4 linked regions of the Canis lupus familiaris genome follow. The protein of the gene in region 2 interacts with the protein of the main gene of each other region in a pairwise test. Links are inferred from orthologs where the notes say so. Each region holds a gene or a part of one and is shown on either strand. Other genes may lie near its edges.

What was found. The genes of interacting proteins can lie anywhere in the genome.
Region 1: the proteins of LMO1 (region 2) and GABPB1 interact in binary tests that used the Homo sapiens proteins (3 or more experiments, as listed by UniProt). The two-hybrid records come from large-scale screens. The link is inferred for Canis lupus familiaris from reciprocal best matches to the Homo sapiens genes LMO1 and GABPB1.
Region 3: the proteins of LMO1 (region 2) and TFIP11 interact in binary tests that used the Homo sapiens proteins (3 or more experiments, as listed by UniProt). The two-hybrid records come from large-scale screens. The link is inferred for Canis lupus familiaris from reciprocal best matches to the Homo sapiens genes LMO1 and TFIP11.
Region 4: the proteins of LMO1 (region 2) and SOX5 interact in binary tests that used the Homo sapiens proteins (3 or more experiments, as listed by UniProt). The two-hybrid records come from large-scale screens. The link is inferred for Canis lupus familiaris from reciprocal best matches to the Homo sapiens genes LMO1 and SOX5.

The regions. Positions count from the first base shown.
Region 1 is NC_049251.1:16,590,902-16,596,775, forward strand, and holds the start of GABPB1 (GA-binding protein subunit beta-1), read right to left. Parts: upstream 3,415-5,874; 5' UTR 2,983-3,414; intron 2,944-2,982; exon of another isoform or gene 2,922-2,943; intron 2,338-2,921; exon of another isoform or gene 1,844-2,337; intron 1-1,843.
Region 2 is NC_049242.1:32,367,096-32,373,127, forward strand, and holds the start of LMO1 (rhombotin-1), read right to left. Parts: upstream 4,049-6,032; 5' UTR 3,964-4,048; coding exon of another isoform or gene 3,942-3,963; intron 3,473-3,941; exon of another isoform or gene 2,855-3,472; intron 1-2,854. UniProt on the Homo sapiens protein: May be involved in gene regulation within neural lineage cells potentially by direct DNA binding or by binding to other transcription factors.
Region 3 is NC_049247.1:20,594,863-20,600,659, forward strand, and holds the start of TFIP11 (tuftelin-interacting protein 11), read right to left. Parts: upstream 3,415-5,797; 5' UTR 3,362-3,414; intron 1,678-3,361; 5' UTR 1,669-1,677; coding exon 1,460-1,668; intron 1-1,459. UniProt on the Homo sapiens protein: Involved in pre-mRNA splicing, specifically in spliceosome disassembly during late-stage splicing events. Intron turnover seems to proceed through reactions in two lariat-intron associated complexes termed Intron Large (IL) and Intron Small (IS).
Region 4 is NC_049248.1:23,355,718-23,361,639, forward strand, and holds the start of SOX5 (transcription factor SOX-5), read right to left. Parts: upstream 3,415-5,922; 5' UTR 3,269-3,414; coding exon 3,190-3,268; intron 1-3,189.

The DNA of each region.
Region 1 (5,874 bases), on a different chromosome or scaffold from region 2:
ATGATGACTGGATTGAAAAACTATGAAGTTGAAAAGAAAACAGAACAGATTGTAGAAATTCTTAAAGAGCACTTATTTCATGAGAAAAGTAGTAGAAACAAGAAAGTCAAGTTAGGTCAGGACACAGAAAGAAAAGGAAAGGACGCCTGGGTGGCTCTGCGGTTGAGCTTCTGCCTTCAGCTCAGGGTGTGATTCGGGGTGTGGGGATTAAGTCCTGCATCCAGCTCCCTGCAAGGAGACTGCTTCTCCCTCTGCCTACGTCTCTGCCTCTGTGTCTCTCATGAATAAATAAAATCTTAAAAAAAAAAAAAAATACACACTCAAAACAAATTCATGATTCAAAACTTCATGTAATGACTTCTGAATTCCTGACTTGTTTGCTTTACCTGTTACTATTCTTAACTTATGAGGTATTCAAGAGGGGGGGGAAAATGGCCATTCTACAGATGAGTTCCACCATAAATACAACTTAGAGATGCTGGATGAAAGGGAGACAAGTAAAATTAACCAAGATCCAATGTGATATTTATTTTCATTTGCATGGCAAACATCAAAAATATACCTGGCATTTTCAAACAATTATGTCAAGAATGACCAGATGCTTCCTGTTGATGGAACAGTAGAGAACTAGTCTGACAGAATCAAAATAGAGTTCACAGAAACAACTGGAAATGAATTTAGCTTCATTTCAAAACCATTAAACCAAAGTATGTCCTTACATTTTCACACATTTAGTGTAACTGGCCCCCAACCTAAAATATAAAATACCCAGATGGACAGAAAGAGAGAACTCAAACTCTAAGTTAGGAGACTTAACTCTAAAGTTAAGTATATGCATTACAAAAGTATTGTTTGACCAAATGTTTCACTGCAGGATTCCTTTTAAATCTGAAACTCCTGCAGGGCTTTTGACAGTGTCCTATCTTCAAATATTACTTTTACACACTAGTTTTTACAAGCGTATCTAACATGGAATTCACATTTTGTGTACATAATTAAAAATAAATTGTGGAATTAAAAATAAAGTTTAGTCACTTAAAAATATTTTCAAGTGTTCCTGAGTCTCCAGGATCATATGCAGATTACACAATCTGTATACTGTTTATGCATCTAAATCCCAAATTGAAAAAAAGAGCCCAAGAAACAAGTATAGAAATCAACTCTCCTATCCATATTTTTTTAAATGTGTCTTGTATAATATGCTGATTCGACTTGTATGGTGAAAGGATAGAAATGACAAATCTCTCAGTTTAAAAAAAAAAAAATTACACAACAACAAGCATGAGCATACAATGGAGTTTTGGGAGTTTTCCAGAGGTTACACGGTGTGATACCACAGACTGAATGCAGTAGAGATTTAAGAATCTAGATGTCTTTTAAACCAGACATTCAAAAGACCTGCAGAAATGCAAAACAATGTCACTCTTACCGCTTGTATTAACTTGTATTAATGTCACCTGTATTAACTTGTAATGAATTTTTGTTGTAGCTATTATGGGGAGGGGGGGGATATGTAAAGAGTAAAATTAAGAGAAAAAAATTAATAAAAGCGTAAGGCCATCTTTAATTTCCTTAAAATCAGAGAGCCTGAGCCTGAAAGTGGCAGTGCCAAGGCCGAATGGTTATAGGTCAGCGCGAAGCAACTTACACCAAGCTGGGTAGGTCTATACGTGAAATAACGAACTGCAAAAAGAATTTTTCAACACTACCATCTGCGTAATAAATTATAGTGCCCCTCTAATTCTGGAATGGGAAATTATTTTTCAAGGACCATTTATTGACTACATCAAAAACATTTTCCAGGTTAAAAAAAAAAAAAATGATACTTCAGAAAGTAACTTGCCTGAACCGAGACAGCAAACCAGTGTTCGCAGAGAGCACCTACAATATTTCCACGTTACCAAGCCCCCCTCCGAGAGTACTGCCGTGGTCGCCACCCCTCCTTTGAACAGATGTCTGCTCGCCACAGTCCAATCAGGTTTAAAGCAAGCGTCTGTGTACTGAAAACAAGCTGAAAGTGGGAAAACACACACGAGGCAGGCCTCTATTATCCCGTTGGTTTCAGTTTTCGCGATGCACCCCTGAGGCGATGCTCGCTGACTGAACGCGGCACGACGGCTTCCACCGAGCTCTCTGCACACACACGGATTAACTGTGTCCAGGCAGAAATGACCTGGCAAAATTCTCAACTTTCTTCCGAAGCCGTGCACCCGCAGATCCCGGCGGCCAGGTCCCAAGAGCAGAATCCGAGCATCCGGAGCGGCGGGCCTTTGTCCCCTCAGGGGCCCGAGAGCCCGCGGTCGTGGCAGCAGGCGCGATCGGCGGCGCGCGGGCCGGGCCGGGGCCTCCGCTCAGCCGCGTCAGGGCTGCCGCTCCCGCCGCGGCCCGAGCGCGTCCCGGCCGCGCAGGCCCCACAGCGCTGCGCCCGCGAGGACGCCCGCCCCCGCCGCCCCTGCCGCCCCTGCCCCGCTCCGGAGAAGCCGCCAGGGCGCCCAGACAAAGAGGCCGGCAGCTCCCGGGGCGGCGGGCGGCGGCGGGCGCCGAGGCCCGGCCGGGCCGCGCCGCGCCAACCTGCCTCCCTCCGGCTCCCGCCCGCCGCCCGCAGAGCCCCCGCCGCCGGGGCTCGACCCCCTCCCCGCCCCGGGGCCGCCGCTCGGGCCCGGGCCGGCTGGGAGGCCGCGGCGCGCCGGGGCCGAGGAGGGGGCGGCGGCCGCCACCATGTCTGCCCGCCCCTCCCAGAAGCGGGGTGCCCGGCGGACAAAGCGCGGCGGCGGCGCGGGCGGAGCGGGCGCCCAGGCCGACCCCGCCGACCCCCGCGGAATAAGCGGGGCCAGGAGCCCCGGAAACCCGGCGCCTTAATGCAATAAACAGGAAATCGCGGGGATGATCTGGGTTCCGGGGGAAGTGGAATTATTTTTTACCAGCGAAGAGATCAACTTCCACATCCGGTGGTAACAGGGCCCTACACAGACCCGCACTGACCTGGAAAAGCTTCGGGAGCGGCGACGGGGGAGCAGCAGGAGGTGGTGCGGGGACCCGAGGCGCCTCGTACCCGGCCGGGCTGACGCGGCCCCGCTACACACAAAGCGCTTCAGCTGCACAGGGCGCTATTTTCCGAAAATGCCGCGTCTGGTCGGCGCCCAAAATCCCCACCGAAAAGTCCCCCGTGCTGCGCGCGGAGGGACACATGGTGTGCGAGTGAGTCAAAGCTCCCAGCATCCCTCCCGGACCCGGCCCCTGTCAAGCCCGCGCCTCAGCCTTTCCGCCCCTGCCTTCGGCCGCAGAGCGCTCTCCCACCCACTCCGCGACCCCATTCCGGCGGGAGGAAGGGGGCGACGGGGTCTGCGCTTTGTTTTTAATGGAGGGAAGGGAAATAGGCCATTTGCAGAGCTCGAGCCACACAAAGAAAGCGGCGGAATGATCCGCTCTCGGCGACCGCAAGTCCCGGCTCGCCCGGCGCCTGCGCGGCACGGGGGTGGGAGCCGCGGCGGGCCATGTGCGCGGCGGAGCCTCCCGGCTGCCGGCGCGGCCTTCCCGCCTCTTTTTGCGGGGGCTGGCGGTTGGGGACCCAGAGGACGTGTGCCTCCCTGGGTGTCTCTGCGACGTGACCGCTGAGAGACGGGGAACCCGAACTCGGGGGGGGGGTTAAGCCGAGCCGCCCCGCAGAGCCCCGGGACACGGAAGGGCAGCCGGGAAGCTAGGATTTAACTGAAAGTGGCCCTAGAGTCAACTAGGCCGCCTGGGACGGGAGTGGCGGGTGAGGTACCGGGGCGGGAACGAAGGCTGTTCCTCCACGTCGCTCGAACTGAGCAGCCAGGTTCCTCACAGAGATGCACTTATTCCTGTAGACTTTTTTTTTTAATTATTTTTTTTAATTTTAACATGCCCATGGCGTCGCAGGTGTCTCGTACTTCATAGACGCTAATTGCTCGCTCTGTTGCCTTGGATTTCTGTCACCTCAGAGGTGAAGGTCTTTTTTTTTTTTTTTTTTTTTTTTTTTTTACCGTGGCTACCATGCCTAGATGATTGTTGTGCCGTATTTTATGAAGAAGGCTGCGAACGTTTATTTGGAGATAGTGGTTTACAGAGTGAAAGCCTTTGCAAGTTAATGCACTTCTGATGAGTTGCTAAGTAAACCCCAACCCACTGGTATTGTGTTTAACAGGTGAGCCCCCGGGGATGACTTCCCCAAGCTGCTGACCTGCAGCTTCTGTCTTCCCATATTTAGGAATTGGGAGTATCTGAGACAGCGCCAAGAGTTTCATCCAGGAGAGTTTACGAGTTTAAGTGAAATCCGTATGACCCATTGATTTCTGTGTGGCCTGAGATAAGTCCTTTTTTTCTACCTCCAGTTACCCTTTTGGGATATTGACGCGGTAAGGATTTGTAAAGTCTTTGTGTAACTTATTAAGTCATTTTGCCTAAAATAGAAGCGAAGTAAATGTCACAGTAGCCATATTGTTTTCTTTTGATGTAATATTTTCAATGCTTCAGTTGATAAAAATTTGCCAAGTTTTTGATACCATGTTTTCCTCTAACCTTTGAGTTTGAGTAAGCATTGAGTTAACGATTGCTATGGAATCCTTGCCCTCATTGATCTTCTTTCTACTGTAGACTGAGAGGGGTAAATAGTAAGTATACCAGTAAGTATAAGGAGGGTAAACTGCTCAATACTGCGAAATCTCATACAGGAGAAATCTCTTGCCCACCTGGGTTGGAGGAATGAAATGGGACTGAGAAGCAATTAGCTTTAATAAAGGAAGTGGGAGGAGCCTTCCAGACAGAAGCAGCAATACACGGAAAGGTTAGGAGGCAAACTTTGGAGAGATTGTTTAGTAAAGAAGATAATGGGGGATCCCTGGGTGGCGCAGCGGTTTAGCGCCTGCCTTTGGCCCAGGGCGTGATCATGGAGACCCAGGATCGAGTCCCACGTCGGGCTCCCGGTGCATAGAGCCTGCTTCTCCCTTGCCTGTGTCTCTACCTCTGTGTGTGTGTGTGTGTGTCATGAATAAATAAATAAAATCTTTAAAAAAAAAAAAAAAAAGGAAGAAGAAGAAGAAGATAATGCTGTTTCAGGACTGCCTAGAGAGGTTCCTGAAGAGATTCAATCATGAAGACTTTGAATGCCATGTGCAGAAATTAGCTTTTTGAGAAGAACTGAGAGGAAACTGTTGAAGGGTGTTAAGTAGAAGTGTTACAGGATTGGATTTGCATTTTAGACAGATTAGACTGTTATGCAAAACTCAGGCATGGAAAACAGTTTGGGGAAAAAAATAGTAATTTGTGAGAGAATAATGCTTTGGACTGAGATAGTGGCAAATAGTGTGAAGAATATGACCAAGGTAGTTATTGAGAGTTTGGTGATTTGGTTGAGCCGGTAAGGGAATGACTGAGAGGAAGTCATCCTTGACATCTTTGACCTTGTTGAATTTGTAAGTCCTTGTGAGCCAACCAAGCACATATGTCTGGCAGGCAATTAGATATTAATTCATTTAAGTTGTTTCATGAGCACTTTCTGTAACTGGCAGTGTTCTAAAATCCTGGAATAGATTAAGCAGCAACAAAACGAGCAAGGTTCCTGTTCCTGTTGCTAGTGGAAGGAACAGACCATAAAAAAAAAAAAAAGTGTTATAAAAGAGTAAAGATAATATCTTATAATATGCGCTATTAAGAAAATAAAAGGGTATCTGATTAAAGCATTTCTTTGGGGGAGAGAACAGGCAAAATTTTGGAAGTTGATCACAGATGGCCTCACAGAGAAGGTATTCTCTAACCTAAGACCTGAATGGGCATAAGTGTAGAGCAGTATTTGAGACCTAAGGGAACAGCAGAGCAGAATCCTGTGTTTAGCAAGAAGACCAGTGTAACTGAAGT
Region 2 (6,032 bases):
TTCCCCAGGCCCCCTCCCTCCCGGGTTAATGGGGAGTGGAGACGCGCGGCTGCCCGGCTCCGCAGCGCCACCTGGAGGTCGCCCGGCCCCTGCTCGGCGCGGGGCTCCGCGGAGCACCCCGGGTCCTCACCCCAGATACTTGTCCGCTGGACCACCGTCGTCTTCCACTGCCACGCCCTCAGCCTTGGTTCCTGACCCCCCTTCCCACCTCGGCGATCTTTCTCTGATCTCGGACCCTCCCTTCCTACCTGTTCTGCCGGAGGCTCCTGGTTGCTTCCCGGACTGTTTGGCAAAGTTAACCCTCTGCAGGGTACCAACTCTCCCACTCGAGTCTTCCAGCACAACCCTCACCCTAGCAGCCCCCTCCTCCCCGAGAGCATCCTAATTCCACAGGGAGCCGGATGCTGTCTCAGCTTCTCTCTGAGAAGCACAGCATGGCCTTGAAGGTTTTTCTCATTCCAAAACTATTTATTGAGCACGTATTATTCTAAGGCACTGGCGTTACCGCCTGTACTACCCTAAAGCTCTGCTGATATTACCGAGTTGGAAATTCTTGCCCTGTAACTCAGGAGTTAAGGGGAGACAGCGTCCATCTCCCCTCCTCTGGAACCCCAATTCTCCCCAAGAGCCTTGGGGCTAATGCTCAGGCTGCGTACTCTAGGAAGGCCACTCTAAAATACCAAGAGTTTGTTTTTTTCTCTCTTGACAGTCACAAGTTCCAAGAGGGGATGGAAATATTAACGGATTTTCTATAGGCCAAGGAAGGCTTCAAATAGATGTGTCAGAGGTTCATCCCTGGCAGACACTTCTGAGGACTAGACCCAAGCAAGGATAAGGCAATGACCAGCAAGTTGGGATTTCATCCCATCTCTGCCTATGACTAATGGTGGACCTTAGCAAATCACTTTGGCTGGGCCTCAGTTCCCTGTTTGTGAAGTGGGGCACCGGCTGTCCAAGGTTCCTGCAGGGATCAGATGAGCTAGTGTACGTGAATGTGCCTTGTAAACCATGGCATCCAACGATGGGGGGAACTTACTGAGTATAAATGAGACCTGGAGGCCAGGCTGTGCCCGGTAAGCCCCGGGAGGCCCCAATGCAGGGTGCCTGACAGGAGTAGGAATGGGGGAGTGGGGCTGCAGCCCATCTTCCTCTAGCCTAAGCGGGGAAGTCAGGCTTTAAGAAAACAGAAGAGAGGCTGCTTCTAATGAGATGCCTCATCCGCAGCTCAGAGGGTTTCGCTTTCCCCTTCATCTTGAATACTTAATCCTAATAGTCCTTGAGTATATTTGATGTTAAATATATCATTTTGCTCAGCCTCACTGTCCCTCAGGACTGCGAGCTTGATCTCTCCCCTGCCACTGCAGCCAGACTATACCCCGAGGGTCTGAGGGAGGCTTTGACACTGTTGCCATTGGCACGTTTGGTACCAACCCCTCACCCCAGCCTGAGCTGGGGGGCCAGACAATGTCACAGGCAATCGGCTGACAGGCTGGCAAGGGGTAGCTTCTTGCTGTAGATGCCTCTGTGCTCCCGGAAGGCATTCGCTCAACAAGGCCTGTGGCTTTACTCTCCAGTTCCAGGGCGGCTTCTCCTCTCTTTCAAGGCTCTGGCCCTGACCCACAAACTGGGACTTGACTAGCTGAAGGCACTTGTCCACTCTCTTCTTCATGTGTCGGGCTTGGGGCTCTGTCCCTACAGCAGCTCCCCCCAGTCTCCAAGATACCAATTAGCAGCCACCCAACTGGCATCCCTCTAGGGAGTCAGGGACCCTGTGCCCCACTTCAGGGACTGGAGTAGGCCTGGGGTGCTGAGCCGTGGGCTAAAGAACCAGGTAGTGTATGTCAGCAGATCACAGCTGTGTGTGAAGGGCTGCTTGTGTTCATAGGCAGCTCTCTGTACCCCCAGTTGTGAGCACTGAGCTCCCACAGTGATCTGGAAAAAGGCCTCCACAGAGGCCTTCCACTTGACAGAGCTACACAGCAAGCCTTGAAACGTTTAAGTGACTTGAGCTCTTAGCTTGGAAGGGGCCTGCCAGGTGGACAGAGCTAGACACAAGCATTCAGCATCCCATCCAGCATCCACCCTCTCAGCTCATGGGGAATTGCTGGGCAGGCAGGTAAGTCCTGTGCCTGGGGCCCCCACCCAAGCTGCCTCCAGGTCCAGGATCCCCTGGGGCTAGGAGAGGTAGTTTGCACCCAACACAGTTCATGGGCAATGAGCATGCACGTACCCTCAAGTCAACATTGCCAAGAGTGCCCCAGAATGTCCTTGAAATGCCTCTGGGGACAGCAGAGGGAGACCAGCTGATCAGCCCCCAGGTCATGGTGAGGAGAAAGGAGGTGCTACCAGCTGCCTTTCAAAGTTCTGGGCAGGTCCTAGCAGTTTGTCGCTGCACCTGGCAGGAAAGTCCTGATGAAGGGTTCTTGCACTGGGTTTGGGAGGTGTGTGTAGGGGAAGGAGACTCTCTGCCCCAGGGCCCAGGCAGACCAGATATTCCAGAACAGTGGTGGCTGTCAGATGTGCCTCAGCCTGAGGGCCCTGCTTCCAACACAGTACAGCTGTCTCCAAGATGGGGTTACAAGCTGGCTTCACAGGTGACACTCAAGAGGTATTTGGACTGACAAGGGCCCCTTCCCTGTGGCAGCCACAGCTGAAAGGACAGAGTGACCCTACAGATTTTGCAGTGCAATCCGGATGTCTGCTGGCCAAGTTCAGATGTCCTGCCCTGCCCCCTACTAACAACACAAAGGCAGCCTAAACACAGGAATTGGCAATCAGCTAGAGTGGAGAAGTACACAGTTGACAAACTTTCCTCCTTTGGTTTCTGGAAGCCCTTCTAGGAAGCTGCACTGTTAGACCTGGTGGAGGCCAAGGCCAAATCTGCACCCCAGAAAGCAAGTCTCTCCCACCCTCCTGATGAAGGCCAATCCACCCCCTGCACAACAGCTCTGAGAAGGTTGTGGATGTAGGCTGACCAACTGTCTTGGTTTGTCCCAGCACTCAGGGGTTTCCCAGGAGGCAGGGCTTTCTGTGCTAAAACGGGATGGTTCTGGGCAAACCAGGACAGCTGATGACCACAGTGGGAGATGGTAGGCTGGGACAAGGGACCAGCGGGGCCAGAGAGAAAGGTCAGGCAGCCGGGCCCTTCCCTGTACACCAGCAGCTGCCTCCCAGCCTCAAATTCTCCCAGCCTCCAGCACCAGGGCTTCATCCCCCAGGCGCTAAGGAACTGCCGTCCCCTGGGGATGGTCCCATGGGGCAGCCTGGCTGTATGTTCTCCAAGCCTTGGTAGTTACATGGGAAAGCTGTGAGTTGGACTCAGGGGTGGATTCAGATTTTTTGGGGGAGTCAAGCTTACTCATGCAATATAGGGGCTGGGGGGGGGGTGCTCTTCTTGAGAAAAGGAATACACGGCTGCTAACACAAAGTGACCACGGAAGGACTATGAAGCTTAAACTTCATCAGCTTCAAGGTAAACCCGCCCCTGGTATCCTGAGCGCCGCCCGACCCTAGCCCGCAGGGCACCTCCCGACGCGCTCGGCTGGGGGAACCTTCCAGGGGTGAAGCAATGTCACCCACCCCGCAGCTACGAAGTTCCCGATCCGAGGGCCCCCGGGGCCGGGCCGGTTTGCCTGCAGGTGCCCTGGGGACCCCCCTGGGGGAGCCGGTCCGCAGCGGGGGCGGCGGGGGCCGGGAAGCCGGGGGCTGCGGGCACTGCGGGAAGCCGCGGCGCGGGTCGCAGACGGGCCCGGGGGTCTGCGGGACGGCGGGACCGGAGAGAAAGTTCCCGGCCGGGGCGTGCGGGGCCGGCGGGCTCGCGGCCGCCCGGGGACTTCCCGCGCCGCCGACCGGCCCTGCGGCGCAGCCTGGCTCCCCCCCCCCCCCCCCAGGCGCCGCGCTTCCGGGGAACGGCCGCGGCCCGCCCGCGCCGCTGCACCTACCGTCCTCCTGCTCCAGCACCATGGCTCCCCGGAGGCGCCAGCCCCGCACCGGCCGAGGACGCGGAGGGGCGCGCGGCTCGGACTCCGCCGCCGCCCGCCGGCCTGCGCCGCTCCCGCCGGCCCCGCGCGGGCTCCGGGCTCCGGGCTCCGCGCTCCGGCCGGGGCCGGGGCCGGGGCCGGGGGCGGGGGCGGGAGCGGGCGGAGCGGCGCGGGCAGCTGAGCCCCGCGGGCAGGGAGCGCTGGGGGGGGGGGGGGCGGGGGCGCGTCCGTCCGCCGCGGGGTCGCGGGAGCCGGAGCCGGAGCCGCGGGAGCCGCCGGAGCCGCCGGAGCCGCCGCGCGCGGTTCTCCGTCCGCGCGGGCCGCGCTGGCCTCTGCCGAGTGCAGCCTGCGTTTCCCAGGGCCCCTCAGTTCCCCTGTTAATTAAATCAATTCATTATGCTCAGATCTGATTAGCGGCCCTTCCCCCCTTTGAATCAATTATTCAATACACAAACATAATTGCCTGGGCCAGAGGTGCCCGCCATTAGCTTATTTAACTCCAAGGACACTAATTACCCGCAGGGCACGGGAACTTTTCTCATTAATTCTGACAAAACACAAAAGCACAGCCAGAGTGCGTGTGAGCAGTGCGGGCGTGTGTGCGTGCGCGCGTGACCGCATGCGGGGGGCGGGGACGGGGTGCTGCGGGCCGGGGTTTGACACCCAGCGCGGGGACCGTGGGGTCCTGAGTGCTGCTGCGCGTGACTTCGTGAACGTGGCCCCGTGGCTGCTGCGGCGGGCGCCCCTGCCCTTCCTGTTTGCGTAACTGCCCCAGCATTGTCCGCTGCACAGTCAAGACACGGGGGCACGCGCAGAACACAGAAACGTGCGATCAGGAAGTGGTGGGTGGTGTTTCTGCAGTTCGGGCTGTCCTTCCCCCCCACCCCGCCCCTCCGGCCACCACCGCGCCCCCCCAGCCCACCCCCTCTTTAAAACCTCAGGTTGCCATGGTCCCCTTCCTTGACGCATCTCGGTTCAGCCTCCCACCCCAACTCACTCCACCCCTGCTTTTATCCCACAGCCCTCCCCACCCCTACCTCTATCCCTATTTCCACAGGTGCCTGCCACCCAGGCACGCCCCCACCCAACTCCACCCGCCCTTTGCCTAGTTCTCCCCTCCCGTCTGCGAGGCTGAGCCGAGGGTGTGTCTGTGGTTGACCAACTTCACGTTTTACCTCCCAGGAAATCTCTATTGAGAGCGAGCGAGTATGAGAGCCCACAGAGGCAGGGACACAGAGGGTAATTGATTCCCCCAAATTAGGTTTCTGCTTTCTAAAGACCAGTATTGTTCCTGTTCTCAATGTGCACAGAGGTATTGAAGATTTCCTTTTTGTTTCCTCAGGCAATGAATGAGCTTAATCCATTTGGCTTTATAAATCAGGAAACTAATATTCGCTCCTTCCATAGCAGCTTTTTAAAAAATTTAATTGGTGGGGGGGGCTCAGTTTGTCACCCTTATGCTGTCCCCAAGCCACCACTTATCAAAACACATTCTGACTGAGGGGTGGAGAGAAGGCTGGGAGGGGAGGTCGTGGGAAGGGGAGGCTCATCCTGATTCTCCCTACCCTCCTCCTCAGTGCTTGCACTCAGACCCACACAGTATCTGGAAAAGTTTGTGAAATGACTGAATCATACTCAATTTGGTGAAGAAAAGGAGAGTGTAGAGGTGCTCTTCAGAATGATCGTCTAAATCCGTTACTCGCAATCTCCCACTAGCATTGAATGTAACCGTGTCACACCCAGGGATGGCAAATCCTCATTCTCACCAACATGCACAAGCCGCTGGACACATCTTCCTGTTGTCAGGATCTGACCCTGCCACTCCCATTCTCAAAAATCTTCCATGGCTCTCCATTGTCCTTGCGACAAAACTCTAACTACTTATCCTATCATTTCAGGTCCTTCACACAATCTGAAGAAACCTTTGTGACACCACCACTACCCCTTGTTTCAACTGATCTTTATTGATCTCCAGCAACTACCTTTACCCTCCTGCCCCTTCCTCTGGATTGCTTTACTGTCACTAAACATACCCTGCAGGCAGGTTCCTGC
Region 3 (5,797 bases), on a different chromosome or scaffold from region 2:
CATGTTTTAAAATTAACTTTAAAATCATTTGTTTTGGACCCCGTGTTTCAAGTACAGAAATCAAGCAAGAAAGAACTTCGGATAGATAAACATCATCAAACACAATAAAAGAAACTGTATGAATGCAAAGTATATTAACAATTTTATTGGTCAAACTCTTAGAAAAGTTTCACCTTCATTACCTTTATTTGCGTATGAAAACTAAAGTAAAATACCTAAGAAATTAACTCTGAGATAGAGAGTATCAATGTTGACAACTGTCACAAGAACAGTCCTTACAATGTCCTATTTCCTGGTTACCTTTATAAAATGACCAACTTGTCACTAACCATCCCCATGGCAGTAGCATTTTTTCCTAAACAATGCAATGTAACTTAGGCCGTAGAGACCCAGACTCAGGAGTCAGGCCCAGTTTCTTACAGCCTGGTTATGTGCTTTTGGCCTCAGTTTTTTAATCTGAAAAAAGGAATGATAATGATGCTACTTTTCTCACAAGGTGAAGGATACCAAGCACGTAGAGTGCAGAACAAGGTACTATCTTATGGTTATAGAGAATGTTAATTCCTGACCTCTGATCTATTTATCACCCACTTTTAGGTTTCCTTGCCAGATGAGGACTTGATCTGACCTCCATACTTTCTCCCCAGCCTCCTTTGTGAAAAACGCACAGTGTCAATGGGCTAGAGCCTACAAACCACAGACGAAACACAGAGACAAAGCCAAACTCGCTACACGCTCTGGTCAAGTGAGCTGTGGCCACTGCACACATGACCTCTCACACTGGGGAGGACGACTACTGGCCTGAATCCTCCTCTCCTGCCTCATGGAGTTTCCTCTTCCCCTGCAGCTCCCTGTCAACTCTGCACACTGACAGGTCTTCTCCAAAGGTAAGTGCAGCCCACATCATCCGCTCTACCACAGACCTCTTCTCAAACTATGCCCCCTCTCCCTCCCTCACCGCAGCCTGCAAAGCTTTCTGTACCCCTGTGGACACCCACCGCCTCCCCTCAGGAGCCTCTGCATACCCGTGCCTCTCCTACCACCCTCATTACCTTCTGCTGTAATAGAAACTCAAAAGTCACTTCTCTAGAGAAATCTTCCCTCACCTCCCAGAATAGGCCAAACTCTCTCTCTCTCAGGTCCTAAATCAGTTATAAACTTCCATCGTATGAGCTGTCAATTAATGTGTCTCCATGCTCTAGCGTCTGGGCTCCCAGAAGGAAAGGAATGGGGCTGCAGTATACGACATGGTACATATAACTGCTCGTTAAACATGAAGTGATGGTTAAATCAGCAAAAGAGCAGCACTCCGGCCAAAGAGGAAGCTGGGCCTCCCTAGCTTATATCGTAGCTACAGGACTTGGTAAGGCCAGGAGAAAGGTATATTTAGTGGGCTATCTTCCCACCACCCCCCATCTTCCCTAAAGCGAGGAGGAAGCAGTCTCATGCTGGCCAGTACCGTTTGCCTCCAAAGCTGGGCCTCTCTTCATCTGAATCTCTCTCTGCCCACACTCCATAGGTGGCCTCTTCCTTGGTCTGCCAGTGGCGCTGCCGGTTGGGGTTAAATTCATTCTGGAGATCCCAGTCGGTGATCTCAAAGTTCTCCCGCTCATCGTCATCATCATCCATGTGGCCTTCCCCATCCCGGTACAAGTGGGACAGTGACATGACAGGTCACTAAAGAAAGGAATAAAAAAGGCACGTGGTTTGTGGTAAGTCCTGAGGGGAGAGCAGCAGTAGGCTTCCGTCCCTGCTCCTCACTCCCTTCAAACTTCCTCACACTCAAAGTCCCAATGATTAAAAATCATTGTTAACAGTTCAATAAGGCAGACATTAAAAACATATTTCAGAAAACAAACACTATTTAAACAGGTGGGACAAAAGACTGGTCCCAACAATATGCGATTCCCTGTCCTGGTCAAGGTCATAAAACTTTACACACACTCACACCTAAATAACCCACAAAAAAATAACTCGGTATGTTATTCTACTTATTACTGCCTCAGAAACGGGGTGGGCATCTTCCTGGAACCCCCCCCCCTTTTTTTTTAATACCATGATGACACTTTGTTTTCTTTCATACTGAACTGGCATGATATAGTTTAGAATAGAGAGCTGGTCTGCAGTATCTTCCAGAACCGCAGAGATCCTCAGCACATCTAGAATGGAGAGTGGCTCTACGATGTCTGGGAGGACTTCTTTTTCCGGTTCTTCAGCTGTTTCTTTTTCTTCTTCTACAGCACTGGGTGGCTCGCCTGTCACGGACACTGTCACCTCAGAATGCCAGATGTTTGCTGGAAGATTTGAGGCTTCTAACTGGCCTTCTCCCATTCTTCTTAAATTAGTTGTAACTTCAATGGTACTTTTACAATCTCACAAAAAAATGTAGTTACTCTGGAGTCAAAACGAAGGATCAACAACAACTAAATATGAGGAAAGAGTTACTATATCTGGACCCTTGGCGGTTCACCACCGGGAGTGATGGTTTTTAGAACACGCTTCCTGAAGTATATTACTTGGTGAGACCCTAAGACTTAAAAGTTTTCCTCCCAAAACATGAACTTCTTCTGAAGGCATAAACCCTACCTTAACAGAGATTTCAGCTCCTGGTAGCTGAGTGATGAGATTCAGCTGACTCTACCCCCACCCTCTGGGAATGCCTGTGAGCCAGATTAAACGAGGTGGTGCCTAAAAGACGCTTAGCTCAGGGGTGCTTGGGTGGGCCAGCTGGATAAGCATCTGCCTTAAGCTCAGGTCAAGACCTCGGGGTCCTTGCTCGGCGGGGACTCTGCTTCTTCCGCTCCAGCTCGGCCCCTCCCCACCCCGCTTCACGTTCTCTCTCAAATAAGTATTTCTTAAAAAATTTAAAATACTAAGCTCAGAGTAAAAACGCTCCGGGAGCAAGGGCTGTTACGGTAGCCCCAGATCAGGTTCCTCACCGCCACTATCAGTAGGTTGGGGAGGGGACCTCGGGGAGGACTGCTGAAACCCCAGCTCCGGCGGGTCGGCGGCGGCGTCGCGGCGTCACCACAGCCGCGGGCGGCAAGCAGCCTTCGCGGGGGCCGGCGCGTCCGGGCGCTAGTCCCCAGGCTCCCCGGCTCACTGCACCCCCGCCACGCTGGCGGGGCGCACAGAAGGGAAGCGCCCCCGAGCACTCGGGGCTCCGCAGCGCCTCGGCCTCCCCGGGCCCCCGAAGAGCCCGCGCGGGGCGGACGAGCCAGGGGCAGCACCGGGCCTCGGTTCCGCGCCGACGGCGCTCGAAAGCAGGCTTGGAGCAGGCTGCGCGGAGGGGCTGCGTCCCCCGCACTCACGCCCGCCGGCGGGGACGCCCCACCGCTGCCCGCACCCCCGCCCCGCTCACCTCCGCAGGTCCCGGGTCCAAGCGCAGCTACCGGCCGGAGGCCAGGAGCCCGGATGTGCCCGCGGCGGCGCGCCGGAAATGACGTACAAGGGGGCGGGGGCGGGCGCGGGGCGCTCTTCGTCACGGCCGCGACGGGCGAGCGCGTCCCGGGCTCCAACGGGGCGGGGCCGAGTGCGAGGGAGGAGGCGGGGCTTCCAGGGCCTCGGATGGCGGCGGGCGCGCTGCCGGACCTCCCCGACCTCCCCGACCTCCTCCCCGACCTCCCCGACCTCCGTGCCGCGCCCGGCCCGCGGGGACCCCGCCGCCAGTCTGAGACTCGACTGCGTAAAAGGGGCTAGAGGACTGGCGCACGGGGCAGCGGTGAGGGCCAGCGGGCGGCCGCGGGGCGCGGGGCGGGGGGCGCGGGGCGCGGGGCCAGGCTGCCGGCGGGAGCAAGGTCTCGGGTGCCGTCGGGGCCCCTGGCCGAGCACCGCGGTGGGCGCGGAGCTTGAGAGCGCAGGGACGGGCGGACCAGGGCCCCACGCGCTCCCTCCGGGAACCGCCCCCCAGCCCGTGGTCGAGACCTTCATTCCTTCACCGATTGATAGGACCGTGCGGAGCCCCGCGGGCCGAGGCTCAAGGGCTTCGGGCCGCCCGGGGAGTGGCGGCTGCCTCTGCACCCCGCAAGCACCCGGGCCCGGGGCCCCCCTAGTCCCTGCGCCTCTGGAAGCCTCGCTTTCCTCTTCTGCAAAATGGTTGAGGATCCGGGGAGATGAAATGTGCAAGCACAGGGCTGCCTAGGCGTGTCAGCCCCTAGTCTTCGCTCACGTTCTTTCTCTCTCCTTCCTATGATGAAAAGGTGCAAGCGGCAGTTGTTAAGAATACACGGAGCGCACCCGGCTCTTAGTCAAAGATCTGGATCCAACTTCCCGCCGTTGTGAATGAAACCAGAACCCACAGGAAGGCAAGCGACTGCCAGCTTCTCGAAACACGCGCTGTGACTCCCGTGGTCTCTGCGTCCCCACTGACGTGTGTCACCGAGGCCGACACACAGTGTGTAGTCAGGAAAGATGTTAGAAAGTGAGGTTTCATAGAAGAGAGGGCAGGAGGGGAAGAGAGTCTAACAGAGGAGAAGCTCCACCAGGGAGCAGAGGGAGGAAAAACAAGGAGACCAGATAGACCGTGTTGAGTCTGGGCCTGGAAATGTATAGGCATCTGGTGATAGGCCAGAGCCAAAGATAGAAGCTCGCTTGGCTTCTCTGTAGCTCTCTCTCCAGCTCTACAGCTGACTTCATGGAGCAGCAGTTACTCAGATCACGAGGGGCTGATGCTAGTGGATCTGCTTCACCAGATGGACCCTCCACGTGGCTTCTGGAGAAGGGGCCTCTGGGGACGGTGGGGTCACTAGGGGTCACTAGGAGTACAGGCTCTGAGCGCAGGATCAGGCTGTGCATCCCCAACAACGGGGCAAGTGGACCTCATGTACTGTGCGATAGGATGTCCTGAGAAGGTCGTAGCACCACCCCCGTGATATTCCTGTCAAAGATGCATACCTGGGACAGAATCACTAGGATACTGGAGACAAGCCCAAATAAAGACATGTTCTGCCAAACAGCTGGCCTGTGATCTTCAAGAGTGCCCAAGGCATGTAAGTCAAAGACAGACCCTGGAAGTGCTCCAGACTGAAGAAGGCGAAGGAGACATGACCGGTAAACGCAACACCTGATTCTGAATTGGACCTTTTTGCTGTAAACGAAGTTATGGGGATAACTGGCAAAATTTAAATGCGGTCTGAAGTTCCATGGTAGTGATGTGTCCGTGTTCATTTTCTGATTCTGATGGCCGTCCTGTGGTTACGCTGGAAAATGTCTTTGCTGGAAATATTAAAGTATTTAGGGGAGTGATAGGGCATCAAGTAGGCAACTTAGTCTCAAGTTATTAAGGGGGGAAAAAAGGTTCTCTTTGTACCTAGATATTTTTGTTTTAAGATTTATTTATTTATTTGAATGAGTGAGCATGAATGCAGGGGGAAGGGGAGAGGGCAAAGGGAGAAGAAGCAGACTCTCCCCCGAGCATAAAGCCTGACACATGGCTCAATCCCAGGACCCTGAGATCATGACCTGAGCCTACATTAGATGCTTAACTGACTGAGCCACCCTGGAGCCCCCTAGAATTTTTTTTTTTTTTTTTTTAATGAAGTTACTAAAGTAAGACCTCAGAGATCCGAATCACTTTGCTCCTTCCTTGATGTGGGATGGGGGAAGGTAGCTTCACCTCACTGCACCTCAGTTTCCCCAACTGCAAAATGGGGATAATGACACTAGTGCTCTAAAAGGAGTGTTTTCAGGCCACAAGACAAGACAGGCAGCTAATACATACATTAAAGCTGCTGGTCATAGCAAGACCAGTAAGACCTTGGTAAATGCTTAAGGCTGTTTTCATTTGAAAGACCCAACC
Region 4 (5,922 bases), on a different chromosome or scaffold from region 2:
AATTTGGTTTAATAGGCAGAAGATCTGTAGTTATATAACCAATCTCACACACACACACACACACACACACACACACACACGCTATAAAATTGACCTTAAAGAAAAAAAGAAAATGACCCAAAGGATAATGTCAAAATGTTACAATGTTAATTTTACAATTACAGGGACTTCTTACTTTCTTCTTTTGCTCATCTACATTTTCTAAACATCTCATCAATAAATTATGTAACTTTCATAATAACCAAAAGGTTATCAAATAGAATAACAAAACTTTCCTAGGAATAGTAGAATTGTATATTGCTATTTAAGTGGTGGAAAGAAAGGATTTTTATGAAGGTTCTGAGTTGGCACCTCATAATAATCTGATCTCATAATAACCTAATCTTTCTCCTCAGCACACAGATGCCCTCTTAGGCTTCCTATCCAGGTCCATTTTCTGTGTAGTAGCCAAAAGTCTTTTAAAGAACCATTTATTGACTTATTTTACTATGTCTTAGATACCTTATCTACATTGTCTCCTTACTTCACAGACACCTCTAAGTATGCACTATTAATACTTAACCAATGAGAACACTGAGTTGAACTTAATTGTCTATGGTTGGTTACATGGTAAGCATGTGGCAGATCTGGGACTTGAACCTAAGACTGTCTGACATCATAATCCATTTTCTTTCTAATAGACAACATATACCTCTTCAAAATATAGCTGTCTCTGTATTAATTCCCCACTTCATTTTATTTTTAAGTATTTGCTAATGTGTCAAATAAAGTAATTATTAAAATCAGTTTACAGTGGGAAAAACATAAGAATTGGAGGCCACACCCCCGCTACCTATAACTACTCCCTTCTTCCTTTTATTTCTGTATAGCACTTACTATCTTTTTTTAAGATTTTATACATTTATTCATGAGAGACACAGAAAGAGAGGTAGAGACATAGGCAGAGGGAGAAGCAGGTTCCCTGCAGGAAGCCCAATGTGGGACTCCAGTAACATGCCCTGGGCTAAAAGTAGGCACTAAACTGCTGAGCCACCCAGGCATTCCTAGCACTTACTATCTCTAAAATTAGTTTGCTTTATGACCTTACCTATTTTCTTCATTACTTTACCTACTTTTCTTCATTACCTCTAGCACCTAGAACAGTGCCTAATTAAAGTTAAATACTTAGCAAATGAATAAATAAATGTATTCATAAGGACAGGTCAAAATTTGTCTCTTTACTAAGCTATGTATGACAGGCTTGACAAATCTACTAGCCTGTTAGCTTTTAAAGTCTCGTTTCTTTAATGGAAAACTGCCTAAGGTTTTTATAAGCTAAAATCCATTCATTCAAAAACTACTTATTGAGCACCTACTATATATCTTTATTATACTACAAATATTAGTAGTATAATATATACTACTATACTATATATACTATACTATATACTATATACTATATATATATACTATACTATACTACTATATTATATACTATAATAATATATATTATAATAAATAATAATTAGCAGAGTCTCTTCAACTGGGTAACCAAGAAAGAAGACATTTGAGTTAGGAGGTGAAGGAGTAAGACATGCATAGTGAGGAAAGAATTTTTCAGGCAGTGAGAATAGCATGTCAGAATGACTGTATTTTCAGAGTGGCTGTAATGCAGGGAATGAATGAGAATGAACAGGAAATTAGATCAGATATAAGGGAGAGTCAAAGATGGGTTGTGTAAGGCCTTGTAGGCCATTGTAATAATACTGGCTTTTATTCTCAGAAAAAAAAATAGCAGCCATTGAAGGGGTTTGAGCAAAAGTGGAACATTCTGTGACTTAGGTTTTTAATGGGCTCAGCACTTCTCAATGGGGTTGCTATTGGTATTTTGGGTAGGCAATTTCTCTTTGCCCTGACCATCAAGCCCATGGTTGATCATTTAGCATCTCTAAATCCCCAGACCTTCTGAACTAAAAATGCTCCCACTTATTTTCAGAGCTATGCTATAAATAGACTGAAGGTAGGTGTAAAGAGCCTATTTTGATATTCCAGGCAACAGCTGGCATTATCTTGAGCCAAATGGTAATGGTATAAATTCAGAATATATATTTTGGCAGATAGGATTTACCAGTGACATAGATACGGATGTGAGTGAAAGCTAGAAGTCAAAGGATGACTCCCAGGTATTTGGAATGGGCAAACAGGAGGGAGTTGCTATTCACTGAAGTTGTGAAACTGAATATGGATGAAGCCAATTTGTGAAGAAAGCAGGAATTCAGTCAAGACACATTAAGAACTACGATGTAAAAACAGATATATCTATATTTTATGGAAGAATTTTGTAAAATGGGGTAATGAGGACTACTGCTGAACTGAAGGATTTTGCTAGGATGTGTTTTATGAAGGTAAAGAGTTAAATATTAGATAAATGAATAAATGATTACTAATAATGAATAGTAATATATTAACCAGTTTAAGCAATCAGATTATGTCAAGAAAAGGGTTTTTTTTCCTTCTTTATAAAACTATAATCCAAAAGAATGAGTCTAATTGTGGAATTTCAAACGATAAATGGTGTGGAAGTAGGTAGGCTTTTAATGCTGTTAAAATCCCACCAGGCCCATATTGCATGGAGTAGATATCCTGCAGTGAGATTAGGCTCAGCCTTGGGAAAACAGTGGGTGCACTACTGTCCTGTACCTCATACTGACTAAGCACCATCGCTTCCAACACAGTAGAGTCAACAGTCAATAAGTGCGAACTTTTCCACATCCATAGGCAATTTAAGGATTTCAGAGGAAAAGCTTTATCTAAACATGGTTTAGACATTCTTTATCAGTTGAATTTAGTCATTCTTCCAGAGATGGAACAAATGATCTGAATTGACACAATGAACTAACTGATACACACAATTTAGAGTTGGTAAGAGGAAGTGTCCAATCGCATCACTGATGGAACTTTCCCCTAGAGACAGGATTCCACCTACCCATGAGTAGAAAAGTCTCATTTTGAACAGCAATGCTCATCATATAAACATGAAGTTTCCCTCCAAATGTGTTGAGTAACCAAACTCACATAGTCAGAAAAATTTCCTTCTCTTTGGATTTATGCGGCATTTATGAACATTCTATCACAATATGTTCTATTAATAGCCTCTATGATTTGATACAAGGGAAATATTTGTATTCAAAAAGAAGTCCTTGCACTCACATATACACAAGTACACTTTGCTTCCTTCAAAACATGGCATCATTTTCCAGACTGACTTGGCCTGTTGTGTGATACCCATCCTTTTTCGCTCTGTAACATTGGTGGAGGGGAAGGGGATGCAATGCTTCAGTCAAATTGTATCCCCAATCACCAGTTAGATAAAGAAGTTAGAAGGTTCATGCAAAGGTGGTTACTTGAACTGAAGTGGGAGGAATGTGATAAAGAAGTAGTAGTGGCAGACAGATGCCCCATGGGCTTCATATTGTTGTTTCACAGAAGGACATACTGTGTCATAATGAATTACCACTAATTTGAGCCAGCAGTACTGTTAGATTGAGCCCGGCAACCCAGAATGACAAACAGTGCCTGCAAGATCATCTAATGAGGGGACAAGGCTGCTCCAGTAGCACTGCTTCACTCAATTAGTGGACAAGGCTTTTAATGCCGCTCTGCACAACTAAAGCAATTTTGATTACTTAGAGCTAAGTCTCCATTTAGAATGTTTCGGAAGCTGAAACAGGGTTTCTTTCTTTTTTTTCCCTTTAATATAATTTATCTTGAGAGTATTTGAATGGTAATAAGCTATTTGAAAGCCAATCACATTATTTCCTATTTTTCCCTAAGTAATATTGAAATACATTTTTTTAAAGTTCAAATGATAGAATTTACTCTAGCAAATGAAATGTAAATAAGATAGCAAATGATTAAGGATATGCCGAGGGTGTGTGTGTGTATGTGCGTGTGTGTGTGTGTGTGTGTGTGCATGCGGGCACTATGTGTGTCTCTCTGTGCCAGAATTACAGTTGGTGAATTTCATTTCATCAGCCAACATTATCAGGAGGGTTGCATATTTATTCTATATATCCACATTTAAAAAAAAATTCCAGATCTTGCCTTCTTTGGCTGGGAGCACTTATATTTCATAGCTTTTGATATGGGGAACTGACGTTTCTACTTAGTTATTTTTTTTTTCACTATGTCACTGAATGATGAAAAGCACTCATATGTGTAATGGTACAACTTTCTTTAATATCGTGATCACTGACTTAGAACTAAACAGAGGCTATTTAGGCTTAGCAAATTCCTTTCATTCTCATTAGAAACACACAGGGTTCTTTATACATGGCTCTAGACATCTTCTGGCTTTCTATCTATGCAGTGTGTGTAATTCTCAGACTGCTAGCACTTTGTGAAATTCTATGAAATTTTGCCTATTTGAGTAGAAGGTCATTGAGTAAAAGGAACTAATCAAGTGCTAGACACAAAGTAGGTGCCAATAAATTTTTACTGAACTGACCACAAATTCTACACAGATAAAGAAAGTAAACCTCATGAGGTTCCTGGGTGGCTCAGTTGGTTAAGCACCTGCCTTCGGCTCAGGTCATGATCTCAGGGTCCTGGGTCCTGGGATTTGGCCCCACATTGGGCTTCCTGCAGTGGGGAGCCTGCTTCTCCCTCTCTTGCACCCCCCCCCCCGCGCTTGTGTTCTCTCTCTCTCTCTCTGTGTGTCAAGTAAATAAAATCTTAAGAGAGAAAGAAAAAAAAAACAAAAAGTTTAAAATTTTAACATTTGGCTCACTGGAAAACCCATAGTTAAATAAAATAACAATTTTCTTAATTCCAAAAAGGTTAGCTCCAAAGGCATGTTACACTTTCAAGGAGAGGATTATGTATTAATAGAAAATGGTACATTATTGGTATTGTTTTTCTAGTAAATAGAAAGAAAAAGAAAAAACAATGTGGCTCAGGAAGCAAGTAATATTTCCTATAATGTATGTTTTTAATAATTATAAAGACTCAGAAACTGGCAAAGAGTATACAATGATTGTGTATCATCCTCTTCGGAAAATACATGATATAAAAATCCCATCATTGGCTCAAATTATTGCCAAAACAGAGAAAACTATTAATAGTTTCATTTATTTTTCTCTCTTGTCAAAAGAACTACTAGCATGGGAGAGGAAGAAGCAGTTCTTGTTAGCTGTAGAAATGAAAGAAAAATAATAATTAAGGAATAAATTTAATGGGAAAGTACCAGTTATACCAGTTAATAGACACAATTCAGTTGATATCAATCTCTTAAGTGCCTCCCCTTCATTTCCTCTTTGTTTTTTAGTAGACTATCAGTCCAAAGCACCAACAATTACCATTCAGCTTTCCATCAATGTTAGTATCAAACATCACAGACATTTTCCCACTCCTTGTTGATTAATTTTTATTTCTCAAATATATATGGTCAATTTTGCATGGTCCAAAGTCAAAATTACATATAAAGGTAACTCTGAGGAGATTTCCATCCCTACCCCTTCTATTCATTCCCATCCACACATTATATGTAATTATTTTTTAATTCTGGCTTATCCCTCCTGTATTTCTTGTTTTGTAAAAATAAGCAAATATATATGTATTCTTATTTGACCTTTCTTGTGCAAAATATGGTATACTATATTATAAGTATAGAAAAGTAAGGACTTGGGATGTCTGGGTGGCTCAGTGGTTGAGCATCTGCCTTCGCCTCAGGTAGTGATCCCAGAGTCCTGGGATCGAGTCCCACAACGGGCTCCCTGTGACGAGCCTGCTTCTCCCTCTGCCTATGTCTCTGCCTCTCTCTCTCTGTGTCTCTCATGAATAAATAAATAAATAATATTAAAAAAAAGAAAAATAAGGACTCTATATACACTCTTTGAAGTTCTTAAAATTTTCACCAACAATGCATCCTGGAAATGTCTCTAT